Linked DNA regions of Neurospora crassa OR74A. The protein of the gene in region 1 purifies or fractionates together with the protein of each later gene. This does not show direct contact. Links are inferred from orthologs where the notes say so. Each region holds a gene or a part of one and is shown on either strand. Other genes may lie near its edges.

Region 1 (4,136 bases):
TTCTCATTGCTGTTCCCGGCGGAAGAGGTCGCACCGGTGCGGGCGATGTTCTCCGTAACGTGTACGAGCGGCGGGCGACTCGGCTTCTCTTTCTCGGTATCCTTGGTCTCTTCACAACGACCACTACCATCAGCTACCACAGCAGCAGCGGAAGAAGACTTGTTCTTTCTCTTCCTGTCTCTACAACGCCACTAACGCGCGCTGCCGCTGCCCTTGATGGCTTGCCTCCGCTTGACCTTGTCGGTGATACGAGTGAGCGCCGACTTTATCTCGCCCTTCTCAAAGGTATCGAGGTCGTAGTAGACGGGGGCAATTTCCTGGTTTACATAGGTCAGTTTCAAGATGCCATTGACAAAGGGAATTCATAAAAGGGGAATACGTACAAGAAGCCACTCAGGACGAATGTTGGTCACTGTCCTGACGTACTGCTTGGTTGTGAGAACGAACTCGTTATAGACGACCCAGTCGTATGGGCTCGTCACCGACGTACTCGGGTGGATCATGACGAGCTGGTCGTCCTTGACCGTCTTGTACACCTTGCTGTTGCTGCTCTCGCGCATGGCCACCTGCATGAAGAAGCCAGCCAGGAGCGCGCGGCGGATGTTGGTGTAGTAGTTCTTGTCCTGGAACGGCGTGCTGACCAGGCTAATGTCGTGCGTCTCCATAATACGCTTGAGCTGAGCCCGGACGTTATCGGCGCTCGACAGGTGACGGTATGAGAGGAAGTGCTCGTGGCACCAGCGCTTCATGTCGTCGCCATTGGTCTCGGCACCCTTGAAGGCGTGGTAGGCGTTCAGCAGCGTCAGGTGGTCGCCGTCGGGGTGGGCGAACTGCATCTTCATCTCGTCGGCCCGCTTACGCGCGTTGTTGGGGCGTACCCATATCGAAGGGACGGAGAGGAGGGACACAATGGAAAGGATCTCGTTGGAGCAGTAGAACTCGGGCGACGAAATAAGCATGACGGCGAGGGCGGGGTCAAGCGGGAACTCGGAAGCCAAACCACCGAGACGCGTAAGCTCACCATCGTCATCTAAGCAGGCGAGGTAGTTAAGCTCCTCCAGGGCGCGCATCATGGTCTCGGGCGCAGGAGGGTCCATGAGATCAAAGTGTACCAAATCCTCAACACCAAGCTTCTTCAACTCCAGAACAGTGTTGGCCAGGTTGGATCGGAGAATTTCAGGATAGGTTTGCTCAATAAGTTCCTTCTTGAAAGCCTTCTCGGTGTAAAGACGGAAGCATTTACCGGGCCGTGTACGACCAGCACGACCAGCTCTTTGCTGAGCAGAGGCCTTCGAGATAGGAGAAACCAACAAAGACTCAACACGAGAGCGGGGGTTGTAAATCTTTTGCTTGCTGAAACCGGGGTCGACGACGTAGACGATACCATCGATTGTCAAGGACGTCTCGGCAATATTGGTCGAGACAATGACCTTGCGACCAGGCCTGCCACCCTTGCGCAGGGGCTCGGGGGCCTTTTCGAAAATGCGCTGTTGGTGCGCAGGAGGGAGAGTGCCGTAAAGAGGGTAAACCTTCATGGGGCCAGCATCCGACTCGCGAATCATGTCGTCCACCTCCAAGCTGATTCTTCGGCAAGCATCCTCAATCTCCTCCTCACCAGTAAGGAACAGCAAGATGTCTCCCTCGGGTTCAGTGGCGTGGATCTGGAGGACGGTCCGTACGGCGGCCTCGAGGTAGTCACGCTCGGGCTCGGGGGTATAGAAGATCTCGACGGGATGGGTACGACCGGGGACGGCGAGCAATGGGGCGTTGTAGAAGTAGGACTGGAACTTTTGGGCATCGAGCGTGGCAGACATGACAATGATCTTGAGGTCTGACCTGCGGGCGGCGATCTGCTTGAGCAGGGCCATGAGGATATCGGTCGCGAGGGTACGTTCGTGGGCTTCATCGAGAATGATGCAGCTGTAGCGGGACATGTCGTGGTCGTGCATGGACTCGCGCAGGAGCTGACCATCCGTCATGTACTTGAGCATGGTCTTGGGGCCGGTCCGGTTCTCGAAACGAATGCTGTAACCGACTTCCTGGCCCAGTTCGACATCCAACTCGTTCGCGACACGCTGGGCAACCGACATGGCCGCCACCCTTCGGGGCTGGGTACAGGCGATGAGCTTGCCGTTCGTGTGGGGGAGCTCGTCGTAGAGGACGTATTGGGGGATCTGGGTGGTCTTTCCGGAACCCGTCTCACCGACGAAGACGAGGATCTGGGTGTTGTGGTACATGTCGAGGAACTCCTGGCGCTGCTTGTGGACGGGGAGGTCGCGCCTCACTTTGAGGATGTCGAAGTATCTCTGCGAGTGCGGCTGGCCGGTCCACGGGTTGAGCTCCGAGTCCTCGGCCTGGGCGGCCTGGGCGGCGGTGGTCTTGTGCCTCTCGAAGGCGTCGAGGGGCGATTCGAAGTCGCCATTGGTGCCGTTGCCGTTGCCGTCCTCGTTGAGATGGGCGAGGTAGGGGTTGTACTTTTCGGGGGCAGCATCGCCATTCTCGGCACGCTTGATGCGCTTTGAGTCCTGGTCGTTGCCGTCCATGTTGGATCTCTTGACGCCTTTGTCGTCGTGGCTGGCCATTGTGGTACCGACCGAGGGCAGCTGGCCTTTTTTTTATATCTTGTTTCTTCGAGCGAGAGGGGTGGGTACTAGGAAACAAAACAAGAAGACCGAACTGAAGGGGAAGAAGAGAAGCGGCGATAGGCAAAACAGAAGGCGGAGTGTCGATTATGGCACCTCCAGTGGCAGTGATGAACAACAGCGAAACAGAGTGGAGGGGAGGGCAGTGGGCAGGCATGCGAGGCTACAACTTTTTTTTTGTTTGATGTCAGGGCGATAGGTCAGACCTGGCCGGCAGTTCCTGGCCGCAGCGACTCTCGACCAATGAGGGGTCACAGTGATAAGCTTCAGTGGAGTAAGGAGTGTCTTTGGCAAGCGCTGATAAGCAAATCACTGTAGCATTGGACAGGACCCTGATGGGCACTAAGACGGTAATTTTCTACACTGTTCTGTAACTGTCAGGTTCACTCAGTTTGTTCCTGCTGCACGTGAAGAAGAAAAAAAAAAGAAAGAAAAAAAGAGGCAAAATGCAGGCAGGTTGATGAAGTTTGTGACATTGTGACATTGTGACATTGTGACTTTTGGCGCATTGGGTTTGTGTGCAATCTTTCTTTCACTCAGCTATTTCATTTTCCATGTACCTATCCATCTATACCCCTCCATACCTGTTTATTTCGAGTTGGTGACCGTTGAGGTTGGACTTTTTCCTCTGGTGCTTCTTCCCTGGAAATATCCACTGCCATGGGGTCAGTCCGTTTTGGGAAAAATAAAAAAAAAGTACCATCCAACTTTGATTTCAGTCTTTACAATTTTCCCTGTGATTGGGTCCGATACCTCATCAAAGTACAGCCTATACATTCTTCTACTGTATACAGGCCCCAGAGACTAGTATAGCTACCTTCTCCGTACCCCTCCCGCTGCTGTTCGTACCACCTCAAACCTAACCTGGACCATCGCGGGGTTATTTACTTCTAGTCTCGTCCACTCTCTTTCACTCACTCGGATTCACATAAAAGTCCAGTCACTCACTCATCATGTCTTCAAATCGCGGGTTTAACCCCGAGTCCGAGTCTTTCGAGCAACGGCCGCCCTTTTACATTGGCCAGCATGATGTCCAACGACATGAGTCGCCCACTGACAATCAGTACGGCCAGATCTTGGACAGTGGTGTAAGTCTTTCCTTACATTAAAGTAGGAAGAGAAAGAAGAACGAGCAACAGCATAAATTCTAACACACATGAGATGAGAATAGTTCAACTTTGTCACCACCCCCATCACCAACGAGCACTTTCACCAGCGCGTGATCGACTTGTACAAGAGCCATCTCCAAGAACGGGAACAGTGGGTCACCGAACGGGGACTCACTGACGCCCAAAAGGCCAACCCGTCGCTGCCACTTCCTACGGTTCCTACCTTGACTGACGACGATACATCCCTGTTTCCCAGCAGCTATGTTGGCTCGCTCATCGCCTATGCCAGCCCATGGATCGACCTCTGCTCTGCCGATCCCATCATCTCAGACATCTCCCGTCAGGTGCTGAACCTCGAGCTCGCCTACGCCAACTTCTGCGGCTC
Region 2 (4,050 bases), on another chromosome or scaffold:
GGACGACCTCATCGGCCTCAGTGAGGATGAGCTCGATGTGGCAGGGGTTGGACATGTAGGGGTTGATCTAAAACATAACTGTTAGCCAATGACCGGCTTGATCGTCTATCTGCCGGCGCAGAAGCAGAAATCAGGGGGGTATCTCCGGGTTTGACGTACGCGACCGTGAGCGCGGTAAGTGCGGCGGCGCTGCTTGGGGGCCTGGTTGACCTGGATGTGCTTGACAACGAGGTTGCCAGTGTCAAGACCCTTGGCATCGGCGTTGGCCTCAGCGTTCTTGAGGAGACCGAGAAGGAACTCGGCGGACTTGGCGGGCCAGCGGGCGCGGGAAACACCGAACTGCTTGCCTATATGACGAAGAAACGGTCAGCACCGTGTCTTCTATGTCCTCCATTCGATTGCGGTTTCGTGTCGGTCGGTCGCGGTTCCATCATGCTGACAATGCCCCCCTATTCCCCCGCCACTTTGTCCTCCCCACTGTCGTCGTCGTCGTCGCATGATGTACCGGTTCGGGTGTGTTTGTGCATGTAAATATCGAGTAAGTCGTACCTTGGGCGGCGCGGCCGGTGCCACCAGCGTAGCGTCTCATGGGGACAGCCTCCTTCTTCTCAAGAACGTTCTCGAGGAACTTCTGAGCACGCTGGAGCTTCCAGCCATTGATGGCCTGGGCGGTCTCACGGGTGTTCTTGAAGGAGACACGGAGGTAAGAGCCGCGCGAGCGGGCGGACTTAGCCGGGGCAATCTCAGTCGCAGCGTACCGAACCTGCGATTTTGAACAAGACTCGGTCAGCGATTCCCTCTCCTCCAAGTGCTCGCAATGCTCGCAAAGCCGTCATTGTCGTCCGTTGAGACTTTCGTCGTCATTTCGGCTGCAGAAGCCCGAAAACTGTCCTGAAGCAAAATAACGGCGGCGATTCTCTCGTTCGGCGGATTTCGCAGGGATTTACTCACCATCTTGCCTGCTTGTCGATGAGAGGACGGGGAATCGACCAAGTGTGATGTTCAGAGGTGGTGATGGGTTCCAATTTTGGCGTACAAAAACCGATTTTCGCGATTAGGGCTCTGTGGGCACTGCGCAGGTGGCTCGTGCGGACCGTCACTTTGCCTGAGGCACGTGCACGCGGGGACAGTAAGTGCTAGCGCCGATAACAGCCTGCCTCCTGGACTGCCGGCCGTGCACGATAGCATCCGCAACAAACTGGAGAGCCTCGACCGCCACGCCAGGACGACAGCCAATTGCAAAGGCAGAAGGCCTCGACCGGAAAAAAAAGTGCTCCAGCGATGAGACTTCGTGCCCCGCTTTTTTTTCTTTCAATCCATGTCCAGGAAATTTTGCACCCAGCTCCAGCAAAAGCTCTTTTCCGAGTCCTCGACAGCGCCGCGCGACAACTCTAAACCCATTGTGCCTCGCACGACTGATCTTACAACGCGTTTCGGCCCAGAATCGCAACTCATACCGACTCCGACTTATCAATACCGACACATTCTATAAAAATGGGCTTCGAGCGTGGTGGCAGAGGCGGCGCCCGTGGCGGTGGTCGTGGTGGATTCGGTGGTGATCGTGGTGGCAGAGGCGGCGCCCGTGGCGGTAGCCGTGGTGGCTTCGGTGGTGAGTTTGGCCTCAATGCCATCGCCTGAATGGTCTTTGCGGTTATGTCGTTGCTTCTGTTCGTCATCTTGAGAGATGTCTCTGCGTCTGCTGCGGCCCGTGGTCGCCATGCATGCCTCTTGACTTCTCGTAGTAGGATGGCGATTTCAGTCGAACTTCATATCGCAACTCGACTCAACATGCGATGGCAACAGCAACCACATTAACGCAACACTTTACTGACAATGACTTAACAGGCGGCCGTGGTGGTGGTGCTCCCCGTGGTCGTGGCGGTCCTCGCGGTGGTGGCCGTGGCGGGTACGTCTTGTGTTCAAAACCCTTGATTACTCCAAAGACATTGACTGACATTATGAGTATAGTGCTACCCGTGGTCGCGGTGGTGCCCGCGGTGGCGCCAAGGGTGGTGCTGCTGGCAAGAAGGTCATCGTCGAGCCTCACCGTCACAAGGGCGTCTTCGTCGCTCGTGGTGGTAAGGAGGATCTCCTCGCTACCGTCAACCTTGTCCCTGGCGAGTCCGTCTATGGCGAGAAGAGAATCTCTGTCGAGAACGCCTCTAAGGAGGAAGGTGGTGCTTCCACCAAGACTGAGTACCGCGTACGTTTTCCAGGCTTTCCAGCTTGTGGCCTCAGACAAAGACTAACATTGGACTTTGCAGATTTGGAACCCTTTCCGTTCGAAGCTTGCTGCCGGTATCCTCGGTGGTCTTGAAACCATCTATATGAAGCCTGGTTCCAAGGTCCTCTACCTCGGTGCTGCCTCCGGTACCTCGGTCTCTCACGTTGCCGATATCGTCGGTCCTACTGGTTCCGTTTACGCCGTCGAGTTCTCTCACCGTTCCGGCCGTGACCTCATCAACATGGCTACTCGCCGCACCAACGTCATCCCCATCGTTGAGGATGCCCGTAAGCCCATGGCTTACCGCATGCTGCTCCCCATGGTCGATGTCATCTTCGCCGATGTTGCCCAGCCCGATCAGGCCAGGTAAGCCGACTTATACAGATCCTTGACACTGTATGTGCCTGACACTAACACATTTCAGAATTGTCGGCATCAACGCCAAGCTCTTCTTGAAGCAGGGTGGTGGTCTTCTCATCTCTATCAAGGCTTCTTGCATTGACTCCACTGCTCCTCCCGAGCAGGTCTTCGCCTCTGAGGTCCAGAAGCTCCGTGAGGACAAGTTTTTCCCCAAGGAGCAGTTGACTCTTGGTACGTCCATCCGCTTCCCTTTTGGTTGATAGAGCCAACAATAACTAACAATCACCCACAGAGCCTTACGAGCGTGACCACGCCATGGTTTCTTGCGTCTACCAGCAGAAGGAGTTCGTCGATAACTGAGTTTCGAATTAGTACTGTTCTATCTTCGTTGCTCTGTTCTGGAACCTTCACATAATTCGGTGTTCTACTGGCAGGATGGTTTTGTAAATCTGGAACGGCGAATGGCGTTTGGGTATCTGCCTTGTTTTAGCATTGTGGGAATAAAGCACCAGGGTTCTTAGACTGATATCCGGAGTGACCCCGGTTGCTTCCATCTTACGCCGCCTTTCACGATCTCGTCACGACTCCTAAGTCACCGCGCAACGAACCTCCTGTTCACCAGCGAAATTGGCCAGCCTACAACACATCAAGAACGATCACCAGTCAATCACCCTAAGAACGAGAAGGGCGCTGGATAGTCAAGCAGAGGTTGCTTTTATCGGCGCTTAAAATGCTCGACAGCTTGGTTCGTCTTTATGGCGTTTGAAATCTGCGAACTGAGAGTCCCTCCCCTTTCATCAGGGTATCACGTCGAAAACTGAGACTATTCTGGCCATTCGAGTTTCAAAGGAGATTGTTTGGGCCTGGGGACGCAAGGGTACTGCAAGCCAGTCATTACATGGCTTTGAGGATTATTTAAACATGCCTAGAGTCTATCCAGGATCAAGAGGATGCTGGGCCGTTGGTTTCGCTTGTTGATGAGCAAATTTGAGCTTGCTTAGTCCTATAGATTTACATATCAGAGTTTTGGGTCATCTTTGCTCCTTATCATCGGCCTTGTCGGCGGTCTTGTTACTTCTTGAGCTTATTGTTTGTTGCTTTATTCGATGCTGGATATGCTCTGATCTATGATTTGCATGCTATCTAGCTCTTCGATATCTCACCCCATTGCCTCTACACCTTCCCCGTACTAAGCGCTCTTGCACCGCTGAAAATCTTATCTTCTTGGCTCGTTTGCTTGCGGCGTTGATCAGAGCTGACAAAGTAACTCAGGCGACAACATATCCCGGGACGAGACGCGCAGCGTTAATGGAGAGTACGGACAGTGTAAGTGTGATCCGTTACCGGGTACTAAGCCAAAGTACCTCTACAACTTGTGGCCCAAGCCAGGCTAAAGGATATATAATTACTATGGTCCCGGGGATATCTTGGTCGACGAGTATCGAAGCCAAGGTTGGCCGTGAGCA

What was found.
Region 2: the proteins of NCU01612 (region 1) and NCU03702 purify together in Saccharomyces cerevisiae (affinity purification with mass spectrometry, with the first as the bait; 5 studies listed by BioGRID). This does not show direct contact. The link is inferred for Neurospora crassa OR74A from reciprocal best matches to the Saccharomyces cerevisiae genes PRP43 and NOP1.

What each region holds. Positions count from the first base shown.
Region 1 is NC_026502.1:2,956,862-2,960,997, reverse strand, and holds the start of NCU01612 (pre-mRNA splicing factor ATP-dependent RNA helicase PRP43), read right to left. Parts: upstream 2,807-4,136; 5' UTR 2,583-2,806; coding exon 384-2,582; intron 318-383; coding exon 192-317; 3' UTR 1-191. Other genes in the region: pp-2 (protein arginine N-methyltransferase HSL7), read left to right, coding at 3,596-3,730, 3,814-4,136. UniProt on the Saccharomyces cerevisiae protein: Pre-mRNA processing factor involved in disassembly of spliceosomes after the release of mature mRNA.
Region 2 is NC_026505.1:2,139,404-2,143,453, reverse strand, and holds NCU03702 (rRNA methyltransferase NOP1), read left to right. Parts: upstream 1-1,207; 5' UTR 1,208-1,494; coding exon 1,495-1,609; intron 1,610-1,845; coding exon 1,846-1,906; intron 1,907-1,968; coding exon 1,969-2,203; intron 2,204-2,264; coding exon 2,265-2,590; intron 2,591-2,648; coding exon 2,649-2,815; intron 2,816-2,876; coding exon 2,877-2,944; 3' UTR 2,945-3,760; downstream 3,761-4,050. Other genes in the region: NCU03703 (60S ribosomal protein L17), read right to left, coding at 1-67, 160-347, 550-763, 952-954.